Linked DNA regions of Drosophila melanogaster. The protein of the gene in region 2 interacts with the protein of the main gene of each other region in a pairwise test. Each region holds a gene or a part of one and is shown on either strand. Other genes may lie near its edges.

The links. The genes of interacting proteins can lie anywhere in the genome.
Region 1: the proteins of Spred (region 2) and angel interact in a two-hybrid assay, tested with the Drosophila melanogaster proteins (one large-scale study listed by BioGRID).
Region 3: the proteins of Spred (region 2) and CG9331 interact in a two-hybrid assay, tested with the Drosophila melanogaster proteins (one large-scale study listed by BioGRID).

What each region holds. Positions count from the first base shown.
Region 1 is NT_033778.4:23,692,073-23,695,763, reverse strand, and holds angel (angel), read right to left. Parts: upstream 1,762-3,691; 5' UTR 1,647-1,761; coding exon 582-1,646; 3' UTR 532-581; downstream 1-531. Other genes in the region: CG30183 (uncharacterized protein), read left to right, coding at 1-484, 2,033-2,905, 2,964-3,152, 3,324-3,691.
Region 2 is NT_033778.4:14,766,385-14,771,135, forward strand, and holds the start of Spred (Sprouty-related protein with EVH-1 domain), read right to left. Parts: upstream 3,040-4,751; 5' UTR 2,894-3,039; intron 1,987-2,893; 5' UTR 1,640-1,986; coding exon 1,620-1,639; intron 1-1,619. Other genes in the region: BEAF-32 (boundary element-associated factor of 32kD), read left to right, coding at 4,202-4,445.
Region 3 is NT_033779.5:20,821,858-20,828,255, forward strand, and holds CG9331 (uncharacterized protein), read left to right. Parts: upstream 1-1,784; 5' UTR 1,785-2,258; intron 2,259-2,576; exon of another isoform or gene 2,577-2,867; intron 2,868-3,414; 5' UTR 3,415-3,563; coding exon 3,564-3,655; exon of another isoform or gene 3,656-3,718; coding exon of another isoform or gene 3,719-3,810; coding exon 3,811-4,230; intron 4,231-4,775; coding exon 4,776-5,113; intron 5,114-5,174; coding exon 5,175-5,300; intron 5,301-5,639; coding exon 5,640-5,758; 3' UTR 5,759-5,867; downstream 5,868-6,398.

The DNA of each region.
Region 1 (3,691 bases), 8.9 Mb from region 2:
CAAGAACTTTCTGAACAACTCCAAAAAGAAGATCCTGCGCTTCGTCTCGCCGAAGAAGTCTAATCAGGAGGTGCACACGCAGCTGGATCAGCACAGATTCACTCCCCAGCAGTGCACCATTGGCGTACAGACATCTACCTCGCAGCTGGACCTGCAGTCACAGTCTCCGCCGGGAAGCTACCACTCCCCCATGCAGACCACGCCCTCGGGTACGACCACATCCACCCGCCAACAGCTGGACACAGAGCAGCCGTACTTCGATTTCGAACGCAAGGTGAAGGCACCGACGCCTCCGAAGAAGCTGCCCCGTGCAAACAGAGCCCGCAAGCTGGACTTTCAAGCAGCAGCAACATCACCCACCACCTATCGCTCGTATCACAAGGATCTCGACCAGGACGTCACCATCACTAAAATGGGCTATCTGCTCAGCAGCATCAGGGCCAAGCTGGAGGCTAGCGATGAGCACGCAGTTAGAACCTTTCAGGTGAGTCCCTTCCCTTAATCTTTTACTTTATAATAAGTGGGCATGTTCATTTCGTACCTTTATTGATGAGTCCAAGAAAGCATGAAGAGATTAAATACTAGACAACGGTGAATACTGCACCCAAGGCGTAGTGATCCGACCCCAGACGGTAATTGGGGATCTGTCCCGCCCCGATGCACCGGTTGATTGAGGGCAGTGAGTAGACGCTGAGAGGCAAGAGCTTGTGCCTGCTCCGCGATCCTAGCGAGCGCAGGATGTAGTCCACGATAACCCATTCGTTCTGGTATGTGGAGGCAGTACCTTCGCCCGAATCGATGATCTCGAAATGCAGGGGTTCTGGGCAAGCTGTGGAATCCACATCCCCATTCTTGCCAACGAGGAATTCAATAGGCGAGGAGTCGGGCAGACTGTTAAAGTCACCAGTCAGGACGATAGGTGTGTCGGTGGAGAACGACTGCAGCTCCTCCAAAATTCTTTCCACCTGGGCGCAACGGACATCGCTCCGTTTCGTGTTGAACAGCAAGTGCGTGGTGGCGACCACGAATTCCTTCTGCTGCTCCTGCTGCTTTTTGAATCGGAACCTGGCAAACAAGGCCACATTGTCGCGATTGAGTAGAGCCACCGCCTGGTCGTACAGCTCCACTGCTTGGTGGTCTAGCAACTCAAACTTTGAGGAGTCGTAGACAATAGCGCATCCGTCCGTTCGACAGCCGGTCTTCTTTTTGTACACATAAGCCAACTTCTTGCCGTTGCCCATACGCAGTCGTTGGACGAGCACTGGAAGGTGGTCGAACTGCATCTCCTGCAGGCACAGTATGTCCGGATCCAGTTTGAGCAGTTCCCTGAGAAGGTTCTGCTGGCGGCGTTGCCAGCTGAGGAACTCATGCGGGATTCCCACGTACAGGAAGAGGTGCTCCAGAAGCAGATCCTGGGCCAGGATGTTATATGAGACAACCTTGAAGGAGGAGCACTTGTGCGGGTCTCGACCCTCAGCCTGATTCCCCAATGACGTCCAGCGTCTATTCCGATCGTGGCTCGACTCCATCTCCTTCGCTTTTTGTTTGCGCTTTCCGCTGGCTCCTTTTGCCTGGCTGCTCACGCTGCGCCTGATAATCCTTGATGTCGCCTTGAGTGAAACGTTGTGCAGCAGAGACCTGTACATCTCACCAGGTGCGCCTCCCCATAAGCCCGAGCTCCTGGTCCCCTTGAAAGCCTCTTGTTTCTTTAGTGTTTTTGGATGGCGTCTGAATTTCCGAGTGGAGGAAAGAAATCTGCTGCTGTCAGCTGTTTTCACTTCTTGTTTTGCGCCTTCCTTCGCTGGGCTGCATTGCAGCTGATATCGATAACGGGGCGGTACTCGGTCTATCGAAATTTAAAAAAGTGTATCTCGAAGTAGCATTGCAAGATTCGTTCTTACTAACTTTCTGGTCAAATAGATTTAGTTAATCATTGGTTTATTGATCCAAGTAATAAGGCTCTTCTTTTATAAATATATCGTTAATATGGTTTGTATTTCAATAATAAGAGTATAATTTCAATCGATTGCAGGACTGCTCCCGCTTTGACCGCCATGAGCCTCAGATCAGCCATCTTCAAACCGAGAGCTACGACTGCACAGACGGACCCAGCAGTGGTGCAACCACATCGTTGGCCACCACACGGCAACAGCGCGATTTCGACAGCGAGCCCATTTACTCGGAGATTGAGGAAGACTGCCTGCGGATTAGAGGGAGTCCCCACCACGAGGTTAGGACCGCGGCACAGATTATAGACCACACGCCGACTCCTACGGAAAGCTCCACCGCGTATGTGAGTGGGTCTGTGCCTGCTCCGTCGACCTCGCGCGATGACATCAGTGCCATGTACGCCAGGGTGCAAAAGACGCCGAAGAACTCACCGCAAATGAAGCCAGTGGATAAGCCTCAGATTAGTTTCCAAGCTATTCAGCCACAGAAAAGTACTCATTCCTTTTCGCCGCCTATAACAACACATATTGTTCTTGATCAGGCGGTACAACCTAAAAGCTGCACCCAGTCGAATCCAGCGCAGCTAAGCACCCAGATGGTTTCACCACAATCAACTGCTCCTCAGCAGCCTGTAGCTTTGGGTCACTTTCTCCACGAATCCCTGAAGAACGGCAACTTCTTCCAGTTCATGCCTCTGCCCGAGGAGCCGAGTGGAACGGAATCCTCGTGCTCAGCTAGTCAGACCACTGAGTCCTCTGTGATTCGCCAGCCGAAGTTAAAGTTGCCTTCGCCACATGCCCACCAATCCTTGAACAATATCAGTGAGCAGCATTCGCCGCCCAAGCAGAACCGGAATCTTTCTCGTTCAGAACTCTCTCTGCAGCGCAGCGAGATCTTCTTGGACAATCTCTGCCGCAGTGAACTGGTGTTGGATCGCCCAGAAAAGGTGCCCAATGTAAGTGCCATTGCAGTTTTTACAATTTGTCACATTTCTAAGCCAAAGCCCATTACAGAATACTTCCAATATGGATTCCGTTTCGTATGACATGCCCGAGCAGCTCTACGCAGATTACAGTTTGGTTGGAGCGGGCAGCGCCGGCAGCTCCTTCGTGACCAACGATTACGGCTCCGGGCAAATTGAACCTGAGCCGGCCAACCAGAGTACGCCGAAAAAGAAGCAGAGCCAGCGCTTTACAACCAAGGTAGAGATTTTTGTTGACTCCCACTAAAGCTTAAGGCTTCCGCTTGCATCTGATTTCTGACACTGTACATTCTGTAAATAGCCACTACCACACTGTACTCATCCATCGCTTTCTGAAACGCACTTCAAATATAAGATTGTTGTTGAAACTGAGTAATGATTGATCTTTCAGCCCGCTTCCAATTTGACCATAGAAATTAATGATGGCCAAGCCACGTCGCTGCGCCATTTTGGTAACAATCTGAGCATCAGTTGCCCCACAACGCCACAGCAGGCGCAGGCCTCGCAGGCAGTGGATCCCACTGTCCTGCACAACAGCAGCAGTTTGGGTGAGCTGATGCAGACGATGCCCAATCCCAGTGACAGCCAGCTGATGTCAGTCAGCGCTCTCGCTCGCTACCGCCTACTGAAGAATGCCCTTCGTCGTTCGTACCGCAAGGGAAAAGACTTCTTTCTGGCGGAGAAGCAACGCCTGGCTCAGAGCCTCAATCTCTCAAGGGACCAATCGAATCAGACGGATGGGGAGCTGGATAGCAGCAC
Region 2 (4,751 bases):
GTACTCAATGCTAAAAGGCACTTAGTTTACAAAATATAGTTGCCTACTTTATGGCGACGTTCTGCATATATAAGTAAAAAAATATTTGCGATCTCAAGATCTGCACAGCAATGAAATATACTTTGTAAATATTTCATGCAGGCCATTTAAAATGTATAAAATCAGAAAAATATTATTATTGCAAAACGTAAGCCTGTTTTTGAAAATTGAGCGATTGTTAATGGGAAAGTTTAACCATCAAAGGTAAAAAGTGGTGGATGTGAGTTACCTTTCTAGAACAAAAACACTCTTAAAATATATATTTAAAGTTATTCTAAGATCTCCAATCGTTCGTAAGCTCGTTGGAATTAAATTGATTATATGGAGGTCAAATCGCTGATATCATTGATCTCCCTGCTAGTTTTCGCACATCGGACTAGTTGTGGGCACCCATTAAGCGACTTTGTGTGCGGGGGCATGCCGCATATCAATTCATTATGAGGACGGAATAAAGAGCAAGACATGAATGAAACTATTGAAACCTTGGGTGACCCCCCCCCCCATGCCCCTTTTTGTTCTTGTTGCGCAGGCATTTGCCAAAAGAAATAAACGAACCGCGGACGAAACAAACAACGAACAACGGACAAACACAAATTGACATCATTTTCGAATAGAATTTAAAGAGCGCCAGTGGCGCGAGGCAATAATACGTGAGTAGTCGTAACAACGGCAATTATTGGGCCCAGAGGCGAACGGAAAAAGAAACCACACATGGGGGCGTTCCATTTCATTCATTAAAAGTGTCGACAGACAATGCGGAGACTTCAGTTCGCCCAGACAAATGAGTCACGCTTCCTTCATTCATTCGACGACTGTCGGTTGGCTGTCCATTGAGGAAAAGAGCCCGTCGACTCAATTTAAAAGCGCTTCGCAAATTGAAATTGACTTCCAACAATCGGCTTTCAATTGATGCCAATTAATCGAGGCACGCCAAATAATTGCAGCACATGAAATGCGCAAAAGACCCAGAAATGAGTGCAAGCCAGCTGAAGTGGCGCGCTTCGTCACTAGTTGCCTACTTAATTCAAATGTGTAAAAGAACACACAAGCTATTTTTAAATACTTAAAGCCACAGAACGTCTTAATATTTTTTTTAAATAATTTAAATTCCTAGAAAATAGATAAATAAATTAAAAAACTTAATATGATTAATAACTTTCAACAGACTCTAAAAATTTAAGACTTGTGTTAGCCAACCATGATAGCAATTTTAAAAATTTCTGCAAATTTTTTTATCAAGTATGTATGATACATGATATCCGGGATATGACGTTAAGTTTTTTTTAAAAATACAGTAATCTAAAATTTGTATGCTAGTTAGCTTTCTCTTTTTAACGCGCGAGTCACAACTATCTGAATTCAATTTAAAGCTCTTTAAATCCTTGATAATATTTTAAGTTTTAAAGACACTTTTAACCACACTTATTTATATTATTTATAATATTATTATAGATAGAAACTGAGACCCTATTTTGGTCCAGATAATAAAGAATTCTATCCTGTAAATATTTGTATCTCCTTCACCAAGATCTACAGATCTATCAATCTATTTGAAGTTGTTGTAATTGCGAGGAACTCACCTTTCATGTCCTTCTGTCATGGTTCGTTATCAGAAAGATTCTAATATAGCAGCGTGTAGTGTCGGTGTTGTTGTTGTTGGTGGCGAAATACACCATGATTAAAGCATAAAGACATTCAGAGCTGCTGCTGCACAAACGTTTTCAACGAAAAAAGTGTAATCGAGCGACAACAACAACACCAGAAGATAGTCAAATAGTTGCTTAGGCGATCCAATCCCACGTAGTTGTTTTTGCTGTTGTTATCCGACTTGCAATATCTCGCCGATCTCCAGTACTCTTCCTCTTTTCGTTTCTCTGCGTCTCTTGCGTTTTGGCACAATTTTGGGGGCGGGGCTTTGCAAAGAGTTGGGGGGGTTCTATTCATTCACTAAAATTGAAGGTGGGCGAAGGTGAATAATTAATTTCGGGTTTCGCGTTTATAAATCGAGAATCACTTTTACTTTTCCCCAAATACACAAACACGGCGCTTTTCATGTGGGCGTGTAGACAAACACAGTGGAAAACTTCGCGCACACACACTAACGCGTACATACACGGATTTTTCCAAGCAACAAAAGATGTAACAGATGAAAATTGAGAGAAGGAGAGGCTCAACTCGGTATTCTCTACGCGTTTCAAACACTGACTATTCGGAATTGTAAACTATATAGTTAGTTTTCTTATTTATTTAGCTTTTTTGAACTACCATTTGCTGCGAGCACTACTTTTTTATTAACATAAAATTTGCACCAACGAATCAATCGCGCTCGCTCTCGCACTCTCCGTCACTCTATCTCCCTCTCGCACGCGCTCTCCGCAGCTTGCGCAGAAAGTTTTTTGGGCGATTTCTCCATGTGTGTATATGCTGCTCTGCTTGCTGTTGCTGCCTTTACATATTTCATATTTACATACGCCTATACATACTGCAGCACAGCTATAATTTTTCACCGATTTTCCCAACCGATATGTTTAATTGCCAACCGCAGCGGATTTCCAACTATATTTTCTTCTTATTGTTTTCGCTTTTCACTGGGCTTACGTATGTATGCATGTGCGTGAATTGGAGTACTTCTTTTTAGTAACAGTAAAAATGAGAGGGCGAGAAAGAGAGAGCACTGGATGAGCTCGTTTTTCATTATTTCGCATTTAAAATGTGTAACTCTGTCTTTTAATTCATTTATTTAACAACGCGCACACATACACAAAAACACACACACACACAAAGCAGGAGCAGACGCAACAAAATGTAGCATTTTTCTTTGTATTAATTTTGCACTGTTTTAAATGACATTTACTTTTGCTGCTTGTTCGCAAATTTTTTTGCGTATATTTGTGCTTTTTCCGATTGGGCGTTTTTTTACAATTAAGCAGATATATTCACAACAATTGACATTTCCAAAAACAAACGACGGCGACGGCGAAAAAATTAAGAGACAGTGTGACCGTGGAGCAATCCGATAAATATACTCTCTGTGCCAACTCTAAAACTCCACATAAAATACCAACGTATATAAATGCATATAACGAAAATATTAGCTTTTTGAATTTGCAACTCTGGGGTTTTAATTTATGGCGGATTTCTTGAAAACGGTAATATTGACAAAACTTTAAATGTTCGTATTGTTTTCTTTATTCAAAATTTTAATTTTTCAAATTTTTTTGTGTATCGACATTGTGGATCATTAATAGTTTTAAATTAACAGGAATTCTAGGAAAACCTACAATTTGGTAAGCTAGAGCTAAGAATCGATTCTTTTATTCATATTGGTTGGGCAACATCTTTCGGTGCAGCTAATCCACATGCAGGCATCTGTATTGCCTGGTAGCCTTGAATTTCTTTGATAATCTTATCCTCCTGGCTGTCCAAGGCGACAAAGACCAAGAAGAAATCGTAGTGCGTTTCGATGTCCCGCGCACTAACCACGACGCACCAATCCATCAGGGCCTCGGTTATCTTATCTGTAGCCTTGTCCGCACTGGAAACGTCCGGATTCCAGTGGGAATCCTCTTCATCCTCTGATGTTGGATATATGACATAGGTTCTGTAGCACTTGTGCCGCTCCATGTGTGAAGTGCATCCATGTTATTTGACCAAGCTCGATTCTGGAGAAGACATTCCAGACTTTGCCGCGACTGCGCTTCTTGTTGAATTGCCGGACTCCGGCGTTCAATTGGGCCTTGATATTGTCCTGGCTGTAGGAAAGCCATCGAAACTTTACCCATTTAAATAAAAAGATTCTACTGATTCAATATACAATAGTCAACTCAATTGAGTTTATCGATAGACTGTTTACTATGGGTAATCGGAATCGCTAGTCATATGAGAATTTTAGGTTTTAAACTAAAAGAAAATATTCAAAAAACATAAGAAACAAATAAAATTCAAAAAAAATTAAACTTACAATCAAGTTCTTTTTAAGAAAATCAGTGGCTGTTTACACCACCTTACACTTTTCGCACCGTGCTAGCGCTTGTTTACCAACACAGTTTTGTGCGTGACTGAATTTTCGTGAGTTTGTATTTGTGTACATTTTGTAATTTGGGTTTGTTTTCTTCTTGGCAAACCGAATTACCACCGCAAATCGAACAACCGATACACCACGATGCATGTTGAAAAGAAATCAGAGCTTCGTAGCCTACTAAAATCCGGGGACAAGCGTTGCAAACTCGTTGAGCCCAGGAACACCAAAAGCTGCGTCTGGAGGTTTTTCAATCTCGTCCAGTGCGACGACCACATAGAGCCGTACGCCTGCTGCAAAACCTGTGGCGATCTGTTATCCTACAGCGGCAAAACTGGAACCGGATCCCTGCTACGGCACCGATGTCTCCACTCCAGCAGCAGTAACGGTAAGTTCGGGATCCGAAATCTCACGCACGCCCTTCACAATCGAAATCCACTGCCACGCGTGCTCCGTGCCGTAGAAACCGAGCACGGATCAGTGCCCGATGCCATCGCGATAAATCCACGGGTCATCGGTACAGGCTCCTCCACTTTGGCGCGGAAAAAGTAGAAACTCTAGTTATAGCAAGGCAGTAAATCGTCTTGAAAAAAAAAACTATAGATAAAAATAGTGCAGGATAGGTACAGAATTTTCCCCAACCAGTGGTTGTGCTTGTAAATAGTTTATAAACCTATTGTATATTATCTAAAAT
Region 3 (6,398 bases), on a different chromosome or scaffold from region 2:
TCGCTCTCGCTTTTTGTCTTCCGTCGGGTTATCTCGCTGCTGGCGACTCTGGGCGCCTGTTCCGTTATATCGCGTAGAGGGACCTGCCTCAATGTTGCGCGTCAATTTTAGGGAGCCTACACCATAAAAATCGGTGACGGTTGGCCACTTTTTTTGTGGCCCGGCACGTCCCACTTTTTTTTCATCTTGGCCTTCTCGACAGGCCGTTGAGTGGAGTTGGGCGCTCCAAAAGCGCCTGCGCGGAGTGCGCGACGCCTCGCTTTGCAGCTTTGTCGCTCGGCCGCCATTTGCGATTCCCGCTGCTGGTGTCGCCAAATATGAAGCAAGCAGAATGCGGCGCAAGCAGTACGGATATGTTTGTGGATGCTGCTTAGGTGTCTGCAACTTGCCCTTGACAGTTGACTTTAACCCGCTGAGTGCTGTGCGAAGGCAATCCCAATCTTACCTTGTGAATGCAATTAGCAAGGTTCTAAGTTCTAAGTTAAAATGTTTGTAAATTACTTTTTAAGAAATGTGAACAAGTACTACAATGTGTATTTTTGGTGACACATTAACTTTTATTGCATTAAGCATTATCAGGAATAGTGCTTAGAAGTGCCTAAAAGTATGCCCACTTTGTTCTTAGTTGGGAACTGAACTAAGTAAACGTTTTCATTTTCAGTTTCCGATTATATCGAAACTGTAGTAATTTATTAGCCTAAAACGAAGACCTAGTGTTAGGCTTTCTAATATCCCAACTTATAAATATTATTTACATACATATGTACATATGTACATTGTATTTTCATATGTTCAGTGGAGAGATCGAGAGATGCGCTTCTCAAATTCCATTTTTTCCGTTATACCCCGTCTTTCACTGTCCGCCTCCACTATCTCTATCTCTCCGCATTTTCTCTTCTCTGTCCGCCGCACACACTCTCGTTGGCGTCTGTCTGCTGTCATCAGTTGCTGATTACTTGTTCACCAAACCGCAGTTTAGCGCTGGCAATGCCGGCGGCAGCAGACGTAACGACGACGACGGTCGCGTCTGATAGACAGCTGTCTCCAATTGGAATGTTGTCTCCGGTTACGTCAGTCAAAATGACGCATCGTGTTTTGGTAACAGGAAAGCATAAAAGCGAGAAGAGCACCAATGTGCGGCACTCTGCTGCACAATGGCCGCGAAACAAAAGAACAAGGCACGAAGAAAATGTGTAAACCGTTGTGGGGGACGAAGAAAAAGCAGGCACAGACGCTGCGCCGCGTCACGACAACAAAAAAATCCACCCTCGCACAAAGCGCTAATATTTTGTTGGTTTTTCGTTTCGCTTTCAATTAGGCAGAGTGCAGTGTCTGGGCCAAATCTCAAAGGTAAGAGGAAGTGCACAACTTTCAGTGAAGCCAATCTAGGCAAACAAAAAGCCAAACTGTCCGTTTCGATATTTCACTAGAGCGGTATTATGGTTAAAACTATGTTAAAATAGTTCTATACTTAAATCGTAAATCAGTAAAATTTAGATTAGTCAATTTTCGTATAGTAACAATATCAATAATTTTATTGTTTTTAACATTTGGAATATCTTATAAATATGTATATGTATTATCATGTCTATGAATATATTCAGTTCTAACCAGTAAAATATTTGATTACTCCTTACACGTAGACGTAAAGTAATTTAGTATTTTGTTTTAAGTTTCTGTGCCTTTTGTCGGAAGTTCTAGCTAGTTAATTCGCGCATCACTGCCAGCGACGCTAACGCCAACGCGAACGGTTCTTGCCGCCGCTTTCACACAGACGAAAAAGCGCAGTGTGCGTTGGCCAACGCTGTGCGCCTGCTGTTCTGCGGACAAAATTTGAGCAGATCCGCTCACAAAAAAACGTACTTAACTGCGAAATAGTGCTGGTCGTGTAGGTTCCACGTTCCAACCGACTGCAGTGCTTTGGCTCCATGGCACCACGGCTAAATGGCCAAATGGCTCCACTGCTCCGGTGGCTCCAACTGCGGTGGTGCCCATTCCAGTTGGAAATTGCATGCGAGCACATGGGAAAAGTCCCCAACTGGTATTTCGAGCAGGCGCACAGCTTTCCCAACTGCTCACTCTCCCAAAGAGTTCCGTCTCTGTCTCGTTCGCACCGATAAGGAGCCTTTCGAGATAAGCAGCTGGAAAGGGACGGACTGATGGTAGCGGCAAAGCGCAGTGTGCAACGACAGAAAGGGATGCCCAATGATGGTCTAATCGGAGGGGGAATCGCTGATCGCTGATAGTACTGGAATCTGGTTGATATAACCCCAATATTATGTTAAAGAGTGAACTACATTTTTAACTGAGATTTTAGTGAGTTTCCGGCCTTTAAGGGGTGTATTTTTACGATAATAAAAGTTTGTTAGATCGCATATTGTTTTAAATATTTCATATATGTTATTTTATTTTAACGAATTTATACAATTGACTTCAAAAATATCTGTGCACCATTCCATAAAATGTAAACCGAATTAATATGTTGAAAATTACTCTCGTATTAACTCTTTTTTGGGAATTGATAATTCATTTGCGATACGATATGAGTTCTATATAAGGCTTAAGCTTTGGGGCCAATACTTCAGTCGTGCGGCAAACGCAAAGCTGAAAAGTATTCTAGTTCTATAGATCTCACGGTAAGAGAAAGTATAAAGTCTAAATAAGAGAACATAAAAATGAAATCGGATTGCGAGCTTTTATTGCATAGCCAATGGAAAAAAGTTTTAGTTAAATTTTCACGTCGGGTGCGTTTGGAGGCAGAGTGTAGCATAGTGTAAAGAACAAATTAATAATAATATAATAAAGTAGTTCTCTTGTGACATTTGGTGTCGTAAACAGTTTGGTTAAGAGAGTTTTTAAGAGTGACGGTTTGTTCTTTGGTGACATTGAGTGTAATTAATATCAAAATATTACTGTGGGTTTTTCCATTCCCTCCCACAAACAAACAAACAATGCTAAAAAACCATCAAATTGTCAAAAGTGTTGAGTGGAATGAGTCGTGGAAAAATGATTAGATGCGAACATATCTGAAAGTTTTTGCTCGCGGAATTTCGCCATAAAAATCTCGTGCGTCTGTGCGGAGATAGCGACCGTATAACCGCGAAATTTAAGTACTTTAAAAAACATGGGAGATAGATGTATTTTAGCTACTCGAAATTATTGACCGCAGTATATAATCGTATTTCCACTGAAATAATTGTCTCTGTTTTTTAGCCAAAATAATTGGCTCTTAGTCTTTGATAAATTCATCTATGTTTCGTAATTTTTTCATTACGCTCCACATGTTAAGTAAAATTAAACTTAATTTTAGAATGTTTATTTTTGCCAAATGTTATTGTTATTAACCCAGAAATAATCTTGCACCGTTCCTGATTATTGAATCCACTTCGATAAAACTCCAATATTATACCTTAGTTCTCGAACCAGCAAACCAGTTGTGCGTCTTATACATACGCCGTAGGAGAGACTGAGACTCACATCAGCTGCTCGGCGGCTTGAACGCCTACAGACATACATACATACGTACATACATATATAGGGAGAGATTTAGAGCGCGGATTATAATGCTAAACAGGTTCATTGGTTTATCGGCTGCGATCGTGGGTCGGAGCAGTCGGATCAGCGGCTTTCCGTTCTCGCCGCTCCTTAAAGCTGGGTGCGTATGCCGCTTGAGAGTTCAGTCGCTCGCGAAACACGACTTCGATCGCAATACTTCGAGATGAGATCGATTGCCACCAACTCCCTGCTGCCACTGATTGTGGCCTTGCTGATCGCCGGTAGTAATGCCTCCCTCCCACGCAGGGGCAGCAGAAATCAAAGCCAGAATCGCACCATGTCCGCTGGCAAGGCTTTCAAGGTCCTGGTGACACATCCCGAGGTTCCCCAGGAGGGCATTGATCTGCTGAAGGAGAACTGCGAGATCGTCCAGGTGCAGAGTGTTCCCATCAACCGGGCGGAGCTGCTGGAGAAAATCCGTGGCGTGGATGGCGTTCTCTGGGGTGGACACGAACCCCTCAATGCCGAGGCCCTCGATGCTGCCGGTCCCCAGCTGAAATCCATCTCCACCATGTCGGCGGGAATCGACTACGTCGATGTGCCGGAGGTAAAGAGACGTAAGATCCCGCTGGGACACACGCCCACCGTTCTCAACACCGCCGTGGCCGATTTGGCAGTGGGTCTCCTGATCGCCGCCAGTCGCCGTTTTCACGAGGGTCGCAAGACCATCGACAAGTGAGTACCACTAGTTGGTTAGTTGTGTTTGTGATGATTCATATACTTACAGAATTAATTTGAGCAATGACAAAAATAGAGTAAACCGAAATTATAATTGTCATAATTATTATTATAATTAAGCTAAACTAGGGACACTTTATTTTCAACTTAGTGTGGCCGTGAAATGTATACGCATGAATTCTCGATTAAAATTGCAAGCCGGTTCTTAAGAATACCGCCTGTCCGCTCGTCTGTCGCTTGCACTTTTGCTCTATAGCGCTCACAAGTGGACAAAGCATTATCATCAATAGGTTTTGGCTCCTCACATGCATAATGTAAAATTCTAAAGTATTGACTTTCGATTTATCTACAAACAAAAGGTACGAGCAGTTTATGTAACCGCCGCTAGGTGGCGGTGCAATAAAAAAAAGTTTTTTTTATCTTCATCTTAGCTTAGTAACAGGCATTTATCAGTATCTCGAGTATCTACAAGTATATTATATATTTTGGAAATATTCATATATCTTTCAATTTCTTAATTTGTATCTTTTGCGTTCTAAAAGTGACAAGTGGGAAAACTACCATCTTAACTGGCTGTTGGGCCAGGATATTCGTGATTCCACCGTGGGATTCTACGGCTTTGGAGGCATTGGTCAGGCTATTGCCAAGCGTTTGTCTGGATTCGACATTGACAAGGTGCTGTACACCACCCGTCGTCGTGTTCACAAGGAGATCGAGGAGGAGTTCAATGCCAAGAAAGTTGACTTCGATACCCTTCTGGCCGAGAGTGACTTCGTAGTGATCGCTTCTCCTTTGACGAAGGACACACAGGGCGTCTTTAATGCCACCGCCTTCAACAAGATGAAGCAGACTGCTGTGCTGGTTAACATTGCCAGGGGCAGTAAGTTACCAGTATTAATTGGGATTCTCGACCGATTTTAACTATTTATTTTATTCCTCAGAAATCGTCAACCAGGATGACCTCTACGAGGCTTTGAAAGCCAACCGAATCTTTTCCGCCGGACTCGACGTCACGGATCCGGAACCATTGTCGCCCAAGGACAAGCTGCTGACGCTTGACAATGTTGGTGAGTGGGAAAATGAAAATAATGTTGTAGTTTATTGATATCAGTCCTCAGGCCCACACCTAGCAAATACTCGTATTTCTGGCCCCTTATCAATATAAAGATTTTGACTTATCTCTTCAGTGGTTGACAATGACTAAAAGTATTTTGAAATTAATGGAATCTTTAAGGTTTCTTGAAGGTTACAAATAAATAGGGTAACGTTTATTCTTTCCATGTTTTATCTAATTTCTGCGTCCTTGTTGACCTCTATAATTCCCTTCTTTTGTTGATTTATTAAAACATTGTTATCTTGGTTTGTGTAATCGTATCTTGAACTAACCACTTGATGTGTTCTTTTAGTTGTCCTGCCCCATATTGGATCCGCCACGAAGCGCACCCGTGCCGACATGTCCACCATTGCTGCCCATAATGTGCTCCGCGGTTTGGCTGGGGAGCCCATGTTGTCGCCCGCCTACTAGTAAATTCAAATGGGAAATATGGCTTTCTACCGCTAACCAGTTTGGAATGTCCGCCAAACAAAGTGCGAAAGGCCGCCGATGACCTTGGCATGCCAGTAGATGTGAAAATAAAAAAAACAATTAAAAAACAAGTATTTGCTGTTGCAAATTTATTAAATTAAATATGTGGGAATCTAATCTATACCGTAAGATTAGCTCAACTGATTAATATGGAATAGGTAAAGCAATAGAATAATTGGTGCTAGAGAATGAGAAACATAATTTAAATACTAATATAGTATATCGTAGGAAATAATATTGTACGTTTTAAGAAATGAGAGCAGAAAACATTGATTTAGTAATTCGCAAAGTTTAGCTCTGCACAATTGCAAAACCTACCACTTTTCCCCAAAATGTATCGAGGACCTTCAAACTGCTGATTTCGCATCCAAAAGTCCCAGGAACGGCTGCGGGAGCTTGTCGGATCAGGATCGGAATAGGATCATCGCTTCTTAAAACTGGGTGCTTATGCCGCTTGAGAGTTCGCTCGCGAAACCCGACTTCGGTTGTAGTTTTTCAACCTGCTCCCACTGATTATGGCTTTGCTGATCGAATATAATAATTGAAGGCCCCTGGGCATGGCCCGTTGGTTTCAAGGTGC